2 linked regions of the Mytilus edulis genome follow. The protein of the gene in region 1 purifies or fractionates together with the protein of each later gene. This does not show direct contact. Links are inferred from orthologs where the notes say so. Each region holds a gene or a part of one and is shown in the gene's direction. Other genes may lie near its edges.

Evidence for each region. The genes of interacting proteins can lie anywhere in the genome.
Region 2: the proteins of serine-threonine kinase receptor-associated protein-like (region 1) and U1 small nuclear ribonucleoprotein 70 kDa-like purify together in Homo sapiens (affinity purification with mass spectrometry; 3 studies listed by BioGRID and IntAct, with this or other methods). This does not show direct contact. The link is inferred for Mytilus edulis from reciprocal best matches to the Homo sapiens genes STRAP and SNRNP70.

What each region holds. Positions count from the first base shown.
Region 1 is NC_092353.1:16,536,148-16,543,512, forward strand, and holds the start of serine-threonine kinase receptor-associated protein-like, read left to right. Parts: upstream 1-4,283; 5' UTR 4,284-4,339; coding exon 4,340-4,505; intron 4,506-7,109; coding exon 7,110-7,245; intron 7,246-7,365. UniProt on the Homo sapiens protein: The SMN complex catalyzes the assembly of small nuclear ribonucleoproteins (snRNPs), the building blocks of the spliceosome, and thereby plays an important role in the splicing of cellular pre-mRNAs.
Region 2 is NC_092350.1:51,881,384-51,888,879, forward strand, and holds the start of U1 small nuclear ribonucleoprotein 70 kDa-like, read left to right. Parts: upstream 1-4,399; 5' UTR 4,400-4,806; coding exon 4,807-4,950; intron 4,951-7,041; coding exon of another isoform or gene 7,042-7,466; intron 7,467-7,496. Other genes in the region: potassium voltage-gated channel subfamily A member 1-like, read right to left, coding at 1,604-1,699, 2,280-3,678, 7,042-7,466. UniProt on the Homo sapiens protein: Component of the spliceosomal U1 snRNP, which is essential for recognition of the pre-mRNA 5' splice-site and the subsequent assembly of the spliceosome. SNRNP70 binds to the loop I region of U1-snRNA.

The sequences.
Region 1 (7,365 bases):
GTATCTTAGAATTTCTAATTTAGACATTGTTATCGTATTAGTATGAACGACTTGTGAAAGTATAAACAAATTCAACTATATTCACTACTGCAGAAAATGCAATTTATATATCATTAATCGTGAGTAAAACTTTCAGTGAAAGTAAGACTATTTGTATAAATACTCGTGTAAGACTTGTGTAAGAAAATATTACTTTTCGAACTAGTTAATTGTTAAAATTACTTCTATAAATCTATTCCATTAATTATGATGTATTTCTTAATTGATTTAATTATTATAATTGTTTATTCCCTTCAGATTAAATAATAAGTACCAGCCTGTCTAATTAATATTGATTAAAGCATTGTAATACTAATTAGTTCAAGTTAGTGATAGTAATTTTTATTGAATATGAATATTTATTTTATTTCAGAAGCAAACATAATGCTATAGCATTAAAAAAATTTGAACAAATAATAATGACAGACACAATAATGACAGTAGACATGCAGAGAACATCACAATAAGGTCATAACAAGCACAGAACTACAACTGCTATGATGCCTTGCAATAATAATTTGTAATCTTAACTTACATGCTGCATTAAGAAATTACACATATTTTAATTCTTTGAGCTAGCCTAACATGTAAAAGAAATACAACGTAGCTTTTAATTCTTGTGATTCATATTTAGTATATTTACTCATTGTACCTATGTGTTGTAAAGCCGATTTAGTAAATAAATAGTTTACCATGAACCAGTATATTTATGGTAAAAACTATAGTTACCCTCAATGCTCTAAATGCATGGCATACTAAAACAAAATGGTACTCAGTTTCAATACAATTATTATGACAGCATATAAGATCATATAAAGTTGTGAAAAATTTTCTCATTTAAGGAAGGAGTTAATCTACAACTGTTTTATAAAAAAAACATTACTAATTCCACAAATATTGATTCTCAGTTTATGTGGTTGTTAAGTAATGAAGACACTGATGTATGTAAAAGTATAGCTGAGTACATAAACATGTGTTTTTTACTTAGAATATAAGTGTAAAATTTTTGTTTGCTGCTTATATTACACTAGAGTTACTCCCCTTGGAACACATATACCTTGATACTTGTGTAGTATTAGTTTTAGATGTTATTCTTTGTAAGTAAGTAAGTAAGTAATTTTTATTGGTTTTAAAATCCAAAATTACAGGATTGATACCAAGACAATACAAATTTGTTATACACAAACATACAAACATCTATATATCATACCAAATTCACAAACATTATATGAGGAGGTGGTACCACAAAGTTATTTAGTGCTTAATAAAGCATTTCTAGAAATGTACATGTCGCTTATAAATTTAACAATAATTCTAATTATATCAGTCTCAGCACACGTATACAAAAATTTAAATCTTTCTTCATTAGTCATACTTCTCCAGGTCACAGTGGCACCCATAACAACTATTTTTTGTCAATAACTTGGTTTATATCAGGTTAATTAGTGTAAATGTGTATTCATTCAAATGTACTTTAATCATTCTAATCATTTTCTGTGCTTTATTTTGTAATTCATTTGATTGTATAGCTCAAATTTTGGGCACCATGATTGGTTAATAAAATTATTTATCTATTTGAAAAAGAGGGAACTATTTCACTAATTTTGGAAAACAGTTGGTCTCTAATTATATTTAGTTTTGTACATTTTAAAGTGAAATGAAATTCATCTTCTACTTCTATGAGGCACAAAGGACAAATTCTTTCTTCTTTCTTCTTTTTTGTATCTATGCTATTAATGGTTATGTTCATAATTGAGCTTTCTTTAATAAAATATTTCGTATTTCGTATAAATATACAAAGTTCTATTACAATATTGTCAAAACGAGCCGTATGATCTTATATAATCAGTTTTAATGTTCCAATACGTAGTTTAGTGAGTAAATTGCTATTCAAAATTTTAGTTATCTCCTTAACAAAAATTATTTTTCAATTTTCTATATTTAACACAGTTTTCACAATCGTTCGAAATGCGACATTTTATATATCTAAATGTTGCGTTAATTTTCTCTAGGTCAATTCATACACAGGGAGGCTATAAATATCATATACAATATTAGGTTTATCATATATAATATATGCAACAAAAATTTTATAATTCTATGTTTCCTTAAAAATGAACATATTTTCAAGTAGATTACCAAGTTCACCACAAAATAAGGTGATAAGTAAATTTTTAGCAAGCTTTAACATAAAACGACAGAAACGATTATGAACGACTTCTAGGTCTTTGACTCGATGAAATCCCCAAATTTGAGACGCATATTTAAGTATAGAGGCCACCATAATGTTAAACAAACAAAAATGCTTGACTTCGGTCAATATAAACCCGCATAGAGAGTGTTGAATAAGGCAGAAAGTGCCTTTGTTCCTTGCTGATAAATCCTATTCTGTGAGTGCAAAAACTTTCAATTGAAATATAGCAATACGCCTAAATATGCATATGAATTTACAATTCAGTCTTGTTCATGGTTGTCAGAGAAAAAATGGTTAATTACAGGTTGCCAACCATTTCTGAAAACGACTATTTTTTGTCTTGTTAGAAATATTAGTTATTTTCCCCCATTTACATTAAAACAGTATTATTGTCCATTGGAATACTTTGAATAACGTCATTCACGAAAAAATTAAACAACAGATCAATGTGATAACGGTCACCTTGTTTCACTACCAAGAAATTGTCAAACCACCTCTGAAAATGCCCTCAGCCCCTCTAAACGAACATTCGGGCTTATAATATTCTTTAAAGTTGTACCTTCGAATTCTCCGGATAACTAAGTAATCGTTCAGTTAATATCGATGTAGACAATTTTGATAAAACACGTACTATAAGATGATCATCGGTCCGGAGATAATTATTCAGGTCTGTTAAGTCACAATTTTTTAACCGCTAAGCCTATTAATTTACAAAACCGTCCGACCACTTACCAGGATACAAGCCATACCAAAACATTAGGTTGAAGAGAGTTTAAAAAACAACAACTTGTATTATGTGAGGGGATGACCTTTATCGGGACTCCGGGATCGTGTGTTTTTAAGCTCAGAATTTCGGAATTGATCCTTTCGGGATCCGGGAATTCTTTTTTCGAATTTCGGGATTTCATGTTTTTAAGCCCGGGATTTCGGGATCAGGACCCCTCCGACCCCCTCCTTATATGTCTCTGGTACATATATCCATGTGAGACAAAAAAAATCCACAAGAGCTCTGCTCGAGGGATTTGAGCTCTTGTACTTTGGTATTATATTAGTTGAGGGTTGATACGTTGATACTTTTATTACAGGGCCGTAACTACATTGAGGCAAATGCCTCATGTAGGAAATTTCAAAACCAAACGCTTGTCTCCATATCAAATTGTGTTCACCGTGAGTGCCTTGCAAGAACGCGTCAAGTTCTGTTCTCCTTCAGACGTAGCCCTTGATTTTTCGGGATCAATGTTTCTTATCATTATTTGTCTTTTGTTCATTAATTGCCCTTCTGTATTCTGTTAGTTTTGCATTTATTTTGTAATTTAGTGATTTTCATGAGTTTAAAAAAAAACAGCTGCCACAGACTTAACTATGTGAATTACATTTTTGCTTTATCATGCATATTGGTATTTTGATGTTGTCCCTAGAAACTTCTTTGAGACCAACATATTGTCAAAAAATTACTAAAACAGAACTTGAATTTTCAGATTAAGAAAGGATCTGGGGAACACCCAGTCTGAGAAAGCATGATTCTTGGGCCTTCAGTAGTTCCAAAACCCCGCTTCAAATTTTTTTTTGCCTCACTCCGCTCGGCGAGACAGGTTTGCCAATACTTTTAAAAGACCTTAGTTTCAACCATACTTTAAATACTGTGTATGTATGCAGTTGGAAATAAAGAACCCAACGGTTCGTTTCTGCAGAGGAGGATGCCGGATTAATTCTGATAAATGGTACATGTATAATGACTTGACTTGAATAAAACAAATGTTTAAAAATTGTATGTTTTCAAATATCATAAATATAGTTGTGAAAATAAATAATCAGTTCCTTGCTTTAATCATGTTAATGTAAATGAAAAATCTTGCACAATAGTGCAGAAAATAGATAATCTGTCCAGTCTTAGTTTACAAACTAAAGAACCGATCCAAAACAAATCCTCCTGCCCACCCCCAACCCCCTCCCCAGGAATATCAAATGGTACGTCGCTTTATAAAACCCCAGCGAAATGCAGTGTTACAAGAGACTCGTATGTAACACCTAATACTGATCGATGGTTATTATGGTCCGAGGTTAAGTGTCGTAAATCGGAATCCAACCCGGCTTGATTTAGTTTTTATGATAAATAACAACCGGAAGTGCATTTCGAGGAAAGAAACTGGAAAAATGACAAATCAAATGAGACAGACACCTCTTACTTGTAGTGGCCATACAAGACCAGTCGTCTTCTTGGATTTTAGCGACATCACTCCATTTGGTTACTTTCTTATCAGTGCATGTAAAGGTATATATCATTAAGATTTATTGTAAAACATTGTGAAATATGTTATACGTATAATACGTTCGTACCAACAGGCACTTGTTTCTATCCATGGGAATACCCACTATCAACGTACATTTACGTACCACATGCACTTGTTTCTATCCATGGAAAGACCCACTATAAACGTACATTTAGTGGTTCTTCCAATGGATAGAAACAAGTGCCCGTACATGGCGTAGTCGTACATAACAGGATGTCAAGAAAGTCACTAAAAAGTTCCCTGGGGTTTTGTGGTCTAGTGGTAAAGACCTATTGCTAAAATTCTGAATTTCCTGGGTTCAATTCTGACTCTAAAGGGCTAGTAGGGGTGCCTAAAATATTAGAAGGATGATGATTTGTATTGGTATTGGGTCTGTTCACTGACTCTACACGTGTTTTCCCCCAGGTCCCATCCCTTATTGATTTGTGTCCGCCTTTACTGGTCAGCACACAGGTTCCTGTATAATTTTGACATCATAAATATCATCCGCGAGCAACAATAGGAACCTTTTTGGTGAGTGAGCACTGCGCAAGCGCAACACATTGTGTTAAGTGGCTGATATTTTGCAACATCTAAACGAAGAAAACCTGATTATCTGTTTATCGTTCTATTAATACTGGTCTTTTCCCACTTCTTCGTGTTCCTAAGACATTATTATGCTTGACAAAAGCAAGCTTGATAACATCTCCTCTTGCATTGTGAGGTCGCTGATAACTTCTCTCACATTGTGATGTCGCTGATAATGCCTAGTCTCGTTTTGAAGCCTTGATACAAGAATTACGAAGCGACAGAGCACGGTGATATAGGCGTTGGGAACATGGATCTGGAAATTTTTTCACCTAATTTCGGTCATTTTCATATAACTTAAAAGTTGGTGCCCCTTTTCAAAAAAAAAGATTGTCAAAATCTCATTACTGTATGAGTATGCTCATACTCATAGCATCAACAAACTTGTTTCACTGTCGCATCGCATTTACTTCATGATTTATTCTACCATTTTTCTAAAATCGATCAAGAGCAATTAAGGGAAGGCAACAGTTTAAAAATAAAATGATTTTAATGACTCAACACGATAATTTTCTCAGTAATCGCTTACATTTCTTTCTATTTTGAAGGTGAAAGTCGATCAAACCTGATGTAATTCGACAATACTAAAATGAACAATTCCGGACTAATTTCTGGGATTAGTTTTGTTTATCAAATTTACAGGAAATCATCAGATTTTTAATATTTTACCTTTAACAGTAAGAATATTAATGAAAAATTTGAAAATAGTTGCACTTGCTTTATTTAGCATGAAATCATTCTAAATTTACGATTCAGTGTCTAATCTGTTGAAGAGAATTTCAAGCATGCATATTACAAAGTAAACAAAGCATGTGTTTTAGTAGTGAAAAAACACTTTTTTCTACGTAAATTAATCAAGTTTTAATTTAATTTTAAATCATAATTGACAATTGTCTTAGCTGAAAAGTAATTAAATAATGAAGACAGTTGGTATGGAACTTTAATTTCTTTATAATATTAGTTGGGGGCTTGTGATTAATAGCCAGGTGTGAATTAAAAACACAGGTAAAGAGATTAGCAATCATTAGCCAATAGCTCTCTTAGGCATTAATATACATTGAAGTTATTAGAAGGGCCCCCAGGATTATAACACTTTACTGGAGTGGCAGAATATAATGTAATTACATAAAATCGATGACAAAACAAAAATATGTTCAATATGGTGATTTTGAAACTCGATCTCAATGAAATGACCGAAATTATTTCTGTTGAAAATAAAATTTGACCTAAATCCCAATTACACGTTTAGGACAAAATACATTCAGTTTCAGGACCTTTGGTAGGGAAGGACAATAATATTTAATATCTTTACAAGTTTGAAAGTAAACATGGTAAATACATGAATATTAATTGCAACTTGATAATATCTTAAGAAATTTTGTATCGTAATTCCCAATTCATTCCGTAGAACTTTTACAATCATGAAAAGTTATCATATTGATACATCTGGTCTTCCTGTTTCAATTCAGAATCGGAAGATAAGTGTTGCAAAGTCATTAAAAATCATTTGCCCTCCAAATCTTTTCTTCAGCGTTTTACAAAACAAGAGCGAAATTTCTGGTAGTTTATGATGCAAATCGTCGATACCATTTCTGACTTTAACAGTGGACATCTATATTGAAAAAATAAAATAAGCAGTATATCAGCCTGTTACTATTCCTTACATGAAAATAAAGGAATGAAATGTTTTCTATAACACCACGCCATAGACACGGGATTTTGACATGGTGAAAGTTCCTCCATCGTTCAATTTTCATCCATGGAGATCCCTGCTAACATACCTTTTATGTCTACACAGAGAACAATAGCTATTGAATTTATTCATTGGGACAATAGAACTGACAAAAGTTTAAAAAGATCGAACAATAGGATATGAATCTATGGAAAAGTTTCATTTGAATTTGTTGGCAATAACTGAAATAAAGAAATCCCTTATCTTCTAGGCCTTCTTTGCAACTTCATAATGATGTAATTATTTAGTAATACATGTAGTTTATTTTCTGTTCTACATTTTGTAGATGGGAAACCAATGTTACGCCAAGGGGACACTGGTGACTGGATTGGTACTTTCGAGGGCCACAAAGGTGCTGTTTGGGGAGCCACTTTAAACAAAGAGGCCACAAAGGCAGCAACAGGAGCTGCTGACTTTTCTGCGTAAGTTTTCAGCTATTTAGTCAGTTTGAACCAATTTAAAACATATAAGTCCATTTCATTATTTGTTTACACTATATTCTTATAAAGGACCTTCCCATCATGGTGTTTACCAAATATTGT
Region 2 (7,496 bases), on another chromosome or scaffold:
AAAGTATTGAATTCAAGTGTGACGCTATTAAGAAAGCATTTGAAATAGTTTAAATACAACTAAAGACTAGTTTAAATGTATAAATCAGCATATTTCAACAGTAAAAACGTTATATAAAACTGAATACAATGAAATCAAATGAAATAAATCAACAACTGAAATTGCCATTATATAAGCCGCAGTGACCAAATTGCTGCACATCACATGCTTATACTGACAAGATGGTGATAAATATATCAAGTTTCATGTTCCTCCATCAAGCATTATTAAACTTTGTTAGAGAGTAACTTTGCGAATCTATCATAGAAATTACCATTGTATTGTATTTAGTTTTATATTATATTCAGTTTTAATGTCAATTGTCATCAAATGTATCATGTATTTCAATAAAAAAAATGATATAAATTTACTTATTTAGTCGACATGCTACTAAATTTCTTCATTTGTATGGCCTTAACCTTATTAGTTTCTGATTGACCTTATATCATGTGTTTATATACTGGCTTCAGAAAAGGTCATGAAGGTACTGGAACTTGACTTTCAAAAATAAATCATGTATTAAATGATCACAGATAAGAAAATTTCACTGCAACACCCAAAATAATCTAACTTGCAGTAGAATTTGTTAAAAAAAAAAACTATCAGATTTTCAAGGACCATGGTAGATAGATAGTTTGCTAATACATATCAACCCCTGCACTAATAATGCACTAGGAGTTATTATTTATCATGTTTTATACAAATATACTGGCTTCAGGAAAAGTTCAGACAAATGAAATATATGATGGAACTGTACATTTTAACCAAAATTATCTCTAAGACATGTAAGATAACAAACAAAAAAAATTCACTGCAACACCCAAAATAATCTCTCATTTATTAGAGTTTTGTTTTTAAATGCCCAATTTTTTAGGACTTTGGTAGATATTTTGATATTATCAACCCCTACACTACGAACTACATGTATTATTATAACAGTATTGATTAATAGGTTCTCCCTGTTGTATGTGGGTTAATTAGTTTCTTCATTAGTGATAAATAACCACAATACACAGTCGACTTTAGTTCAGAGCCATAACTGCAGCACCTGTATGTACTGTATGTAATTGATGCACATTATATACATGTACAAATATTTTGTGATAATTATAAGCATATTCATGAAATATATGTAGTAATAATTCTATGTAATGATTCTGAACTACCTTACAGTAAAGTGTATAGATGTAGAAATAAATAAATAATATAACTATGATAACAGATTTAAAAGTGTTAAAGTGATGATCAAATTATATTGCTAATAGATTTTTGTTTTGTCGGCTCATAAATGAAAGTGGAATGTAAAAGTTTCTCAAAACTACACCAATAAAAAATCATAGGCAGTTTCATGGTCCTCTAATTTAAAGACAAAGCAGCAACTACAATGTATCTATGGTTACTCTGCAAGCGGTTCAAACATTTTGGCAATTCTGTTTTCTTCAAATATTACCCTTTTCATATATATATTCCTCCATTTTTTCTTCTGTTTGTGATTTTTTATTAATTGTCTAATAAAAGTATAATCATCTTACCTTTGTCAGCATTATGTCCACCAGTTTGAGCTTCAATCATTTCTGTCTGAGTCTCTTTCTTTGTTTCTGTCAGCCATTCCATCATCTTTCTCGACAACTTCCGTGTTTTGGTTCACTTCTAACAACCACTTATAATAGAATGAAAGTTAATTTGGAAATTCTTCATTAGTTAGCACAAATCTTCATTTATAATCACAGAAGTAGAATAAATCCATGACCATCTATAGAATAATCAGAATTGGAAATGTAAAGTTTTTTATCACTGAATTTTGTATCCTAGCCCTCACTATTTTTGAATATCTTCATATAAATAAACACTGATCCTTGTTACATGTATTTGATGTATACCTTTTCGTGTGTATTAACGCTATGATTTCTGGTTTTAGTTGTGTTATAATGGAAAGCTGTCATGAATCCATCTAGTATGAAAGGTGTTCATAATTCCAAAGATAAAAATACAAATTGCAGGTGCTTTAATGATTGGTGCAAAGATGAAAGACTTTTGGAGTTGAGAAATTCAAAATGAATCTTAATAAATATTATAGGATATAATATAATAAAATGCAAGGAAAGTGTTAACTTCAGTCAAAACACAGTTAAATTCCCAGTTACAAACAACTTGATGAGTAAAAAGTTCTAATGTTGTAACAGTTTTTGTCATACATCAGTCTCAATGCTTAAGTTATTCATACTAGAAGGGTTGTTTACCTTGTTTGTGTGGTTTTCTTTCGATCTGTCACTATTCACATTAATAAAACTACTGCCTTCCTCCATTTCCATAATATTTTCTGAACCGCTAGAAGCAATTGAACTTTTCTTGCTATTTGAGTAGTTTGGACAACTTTGTACATGATGGTAGTTCGTTTTATCATCATTCTCTGCCTCTCTATGATAAAAGTAGTTGAAGTTTGAAACAATCACAGGCACGGGTAATGCAATTGTTAGTACACCAGCGATGGCACATAATGAACCTACAAGCTTTCCCCAAACTCCTATCGGTCGCATGTCACCGTAGCCGACGGTTGTCATAGTTACAACCGCCCACCAGAAGGCATCAGGTATACTATGGAAATGCGTACTTTCTGCATCTGCCTCTGCAAAATACACTGCACTAGAAAACAATATAACTCCAATGAAGAGGAAGAAAATGAGCAATCCCAATTCTCGCATACTGGCTCTTAAAGTCTGTCCTAATATTTGTAGTCCCTTTGAATGTCTTGATAATTTAAATATCCTAAACACTCGTACTAATCTTATCACTCTAAGGATAGCAAGAGACATGGCCTGGTTGTTCGATTTACCTTCATCGGCAATTACGGTACCTAGAGTGATAAAATATGGAATGATTGCCACAATATCTATAAGATTCATTACATTTTTAAAGAATCCTAATTTTCCAGGACAGGAAGCATATCTAACTAAAAGCTCAAAAGTGAACCAAATAATGCAGCAGGTTTCTATAATGAAAAAAGGTTCATTAAACTGAGGAATATCATCTTCCTCAATCGATGGTGTTGTGGAATTGCCAGTTTCACTAGTTTTGTTCAAATATCGATACTTTTTGAATTCTGGTAATGTTTCTAAGCAAAAGATCACAATTGACATTAAAATAACAACCACTGAGAATATTGCAATTAGCCTGGCTGAAGTTGAACTTTCTGGATATTCAAACAACAGCCAAACTCGTCTCTGGAATATATTTGTAGGTAATGGTTTTTCTTCTTCCTTGATAAATCCTTCATCCTCCCTATACTTTTGAATAGCATCATCTCCTAGTTCATAAAATTTAATTTCCTCTGAGAAAACATCTAATGGAACATTAACTGGCCTTCTTAAACGCCCACCACTTTGGTAATAATATAACACTGCATCAAAACTTGGTCGGTTCCGATCAAAAAAGTATTCATTTCTTAGTGGATCATAGTATCTATTTCGTTTCTGTGGATTCCCTAGTAATGTCTCTGGGAATTGGTTTAAAGTCCGTAATTGTGTTTCAAATCGTAGACCACTTACATTGATTACCACTCGTTCACTGCACTCATAGTCACTACCTGCCATATCACTGGGCCCCATACCATCGACATCATCGGTTGGCTTTGGATAAGACCTGGAATTGGGAAGAACATGATTTTGACGCTGGTAATTACAATTAGGCCCACCATTACCTTGTTCTAAGCTCATCATAGCCACCTCCATTTTGCATATAAATGTAAGCCCTACTTACAACATTTAGTTTTGTTCATGTCATCTTTTCATGAATAAATATATTCCAGTTATTAAAATCACAAATTAATTTTCCTATTTGTAAGCTGTTTAATCATTTCCATTGTGTGCTATAGAACAGTTGTTAAAGCAATTTTTAATTTCTTGACTCAATGCCAAAGCCTATTTTGTACAGTTCTAAACTAGTCTAAGTTGTCAAAAAGAAAACTGTGTTAAGATTGTGATCACCTTTGCAAATGTTATAATCATAAAATTCACTTTGACTGTAAATCATTGGCACTGATGTCAAAGCATAATTTCTTAAACACACTTTCTTAAAAGTACATGTTCTTTCCAAACTAAGATTATCGTCTGCATAAAACAATCTCAAGTCAATGTCACTTTTTCACTGTCCATTTTGCACTTTTTTCATAGTTTGTTGCATGTAATTAAGCGTTGCTGTTTTATAAACATGATGAGTAGGGTTCAATAAATTAACAAACCATTTCTCATGCAAAAATTTCACCCTGAATCGCTACAATTTACTGTTGATCTTACGTTGACATGAACCCATTGAGTATATGATAGAGAGTTGAGACTTTGATCGATTAACCAATCAGAAACCCGTTTACAAACAACTTTGGTTATCGACTAACAGGTGCTTTATGCAGTGAATATTAAATTACCATTAACAGTTTATTCTTCCTATGGCACAAAGCATATAAAGTCAATCAGCTTTGACATTCTAGAATACTACATATTTCTTCTCTTGATAAGAAAACTTACGTTAAAATATTAATTCACTGCGAGGATAATACTTCACCTTATTCCCTGTGGTACGTCATTTATCGGCACAGTACAAAGCAACGAAGAACAGACGTCTCAATCGAGTTATTTAGGGACGTGGTAAATTGCATGTGTTGGTCAGAGAAGACAAATTGGCGTTTTACATTTACCGCTGTGTATTTGAATGAGGGTCGATAGAGGCTGTTGAACATTTTAAAGACAAGTTACTGAGAGATACTTGAACAAAATGACTGCTTTCTTACCTCCAAACTTGCTGGCTCTTTTTGCTGCCAGGGATCCTGTCCCATACTTACCACCGGCGGACAAATTGGGTTTCGAAAAGAAGAGGTTAAGTTATGGTGGAGTTGCACAGTTTCTTAATGAGTTTGAGGTAAAATCTAAATATAATTAAGTACAATAGATAATGTTTTAAATAGATAAACAAACTTACAATGTTTCCAAAATGGCTGACACTAAAGTTGCCATTGTTTACTAATTCTGCTTTAGAAAGTATAAGATATGTCCAGTTTTGGTTCGTAACCCCAGTCCATCGTTAGCTCTTTGATAATTGTGTGTATTAAGAAGTCAATTCTTGTAGTTTCAATCACGATTTCCCCCAAAAAGCACAGTAATGACAATTGCAGATGAAGGCATTGTTAAGAAAATCATTCTTAAATAATTCCTTTTGATACCAAATGTAAATAAACACACATGTGCATCTTAAAGCCTTTCCATTGAATCTGAATCAATTGGTGGAGCTTAGGCAGTTCATTATGAATAATTCACACATCAATGTGTTAACATAATTTAATCCATGACACACATACAAGCGTCAAAGACTTACAAATCAAGTTACACATATGAAGCCAGATTCTGAAATGCAATTAAGCCATTCATGTCACCAATGGCAACTGAATTTTTCATATAATTCCAAAAATAGATAATTTCCTTAAAGATAATCCAAGTTTACTTTACATTACACAAATTGGAAAAAATCCTTTCAATCAATGAATTGGCCTCCATAACTTAAATCGAGAATAAGCTACACTAGTGTCACAAAATAGATGGAAATTGATTTCTGAAAAGCAGGATGATTTTAGATGTGTAATCCAATACTAGCGTTTACCTGTACTAAAGCTAGGTGTAATAAGCTAAATAGTTACACAGTGTACAGAAATCATAGGAAAGTGGATTCTGCGATAGAAATCCAGCTCTTACTTGTTTAGATACTAGGAGCAAATTGTAAACAATGATCAGTGGATAAAACAGTGTATTGATTGGGAAAGTGTAGAGGGTGATGTACAAACATCAGTTGTTAATTATCTAGATACACAAAACCACCTCTAATATATGACATAAGTAAACAAAGTTATAATGGAAACAGGCACCTATCCATCATTGTCCATTAATATTATATTTTTGGCCAGAGAAAGAAATTAGTACATTCATCTCTAGGTCTCAACTTCATTTATAGGTCTCAATTTCTTCTTTCTTTTTTTTTTTTTATATCTATGTTTTTTTTAATTAATCCTGATTTTTTGTTTACAAAATATCATATTTGAAAATTATGTATTATTTTATTAATTTGAATTGACAAATGATTTGGATATATATGTGGCTACTTATTGATGTTACTGATGCCCTATCTCAAATAACAAGCAAAATGTGACAAATGTTGAATATTGATTATATATTGACAATTAACTTTCTAGAAAGATACAACATATTGTTGAATGAGATTAGACTTGTGTATTACAATTTACATATGGCATTATTTTTTATAAAAAAAAGATTGGACTTGTATATTATATGGTACATGTATTATTTGTTAAAAAAAAAAGGATCGGATTTGTGTATTGTACATGTTAATGTATATGACCATTATGGTATTATCCCTAACAATATACACACATTAAATATTTTGTAGTTGTATTTAGTAAAAATAGAATTGGGGTAACAAAAATTCAGTGCTGCAACCCAACAACAAAAATGAACTAAAATAGCCATATTTAAATGGAGAGATCTGCACACAAGTCAAGTTAAAAAATTTGAAAGACTGTTTTAAATTTTGTGTTTAAAACAGAATTGAGTTACAGCCACGAAATTTTTGAATTTAGTTGTTAAAGCAAAATACAAAGGCCTTGGAATGTTTAGGTTTTAATTATTAAAGAAAAGTACAGAGTAAATTTTTTACTAATCACAGGTAATCTTGGTAGTATGAGAATATGTTCCAATTATGATGCCTTCTCTCCCCCCCCCCCCAAAAAAAAATCAAAAATATATCGAGTGTTTTTAACAAATTGTTATCAGGTTTAATCTGTAAAAATATAACATAAACTATCATACTTAGTTTTACATTATGTAATTGTACATATATTAAACTACATGTATCATATATTGAATTTCCTGTGACACATTTCCTTAGGTATAAAGTTACAATGTTAAGTCTCAGATGTTTATATATACATGTAAATAGACTTACTTGTTATTTTGTATTTTTTCCAGTAAAGGAACTGTTGTCTCATCCTTTGTGTCTGACCATTCATCCTTGTGACATTTATTCACTGGAACATTTTCTAAGTTGTTACTTGCAGGATCGCAGTTAATATATTGTAATGAGTCTTGATATGGTGGAGGATTTGAATCGGGAGAAGATATCGGTGGTGTTGTTATTTGTTCCTGTTGATTGTTTTGGTCTTTGTATTTGTCACTGTTTTTTTGCTGCATCTTGAATATGTTTGGAAGACATGCTGACTTAGTTTCCTCGCCTGTACCCTGACCGCCTTTCGACGAATCTGACACAGAGCATGACCTGCCACTATTTGGTGCCGATTTGCTTCGCCTTATTCTTTTGGCAGCCTGTTGTCTTTCTATCCTTTGAGATTCTACAGCATCTAGATCTTTAGGCTAAAGAAGAAAAGAATAATTTTGTTGATA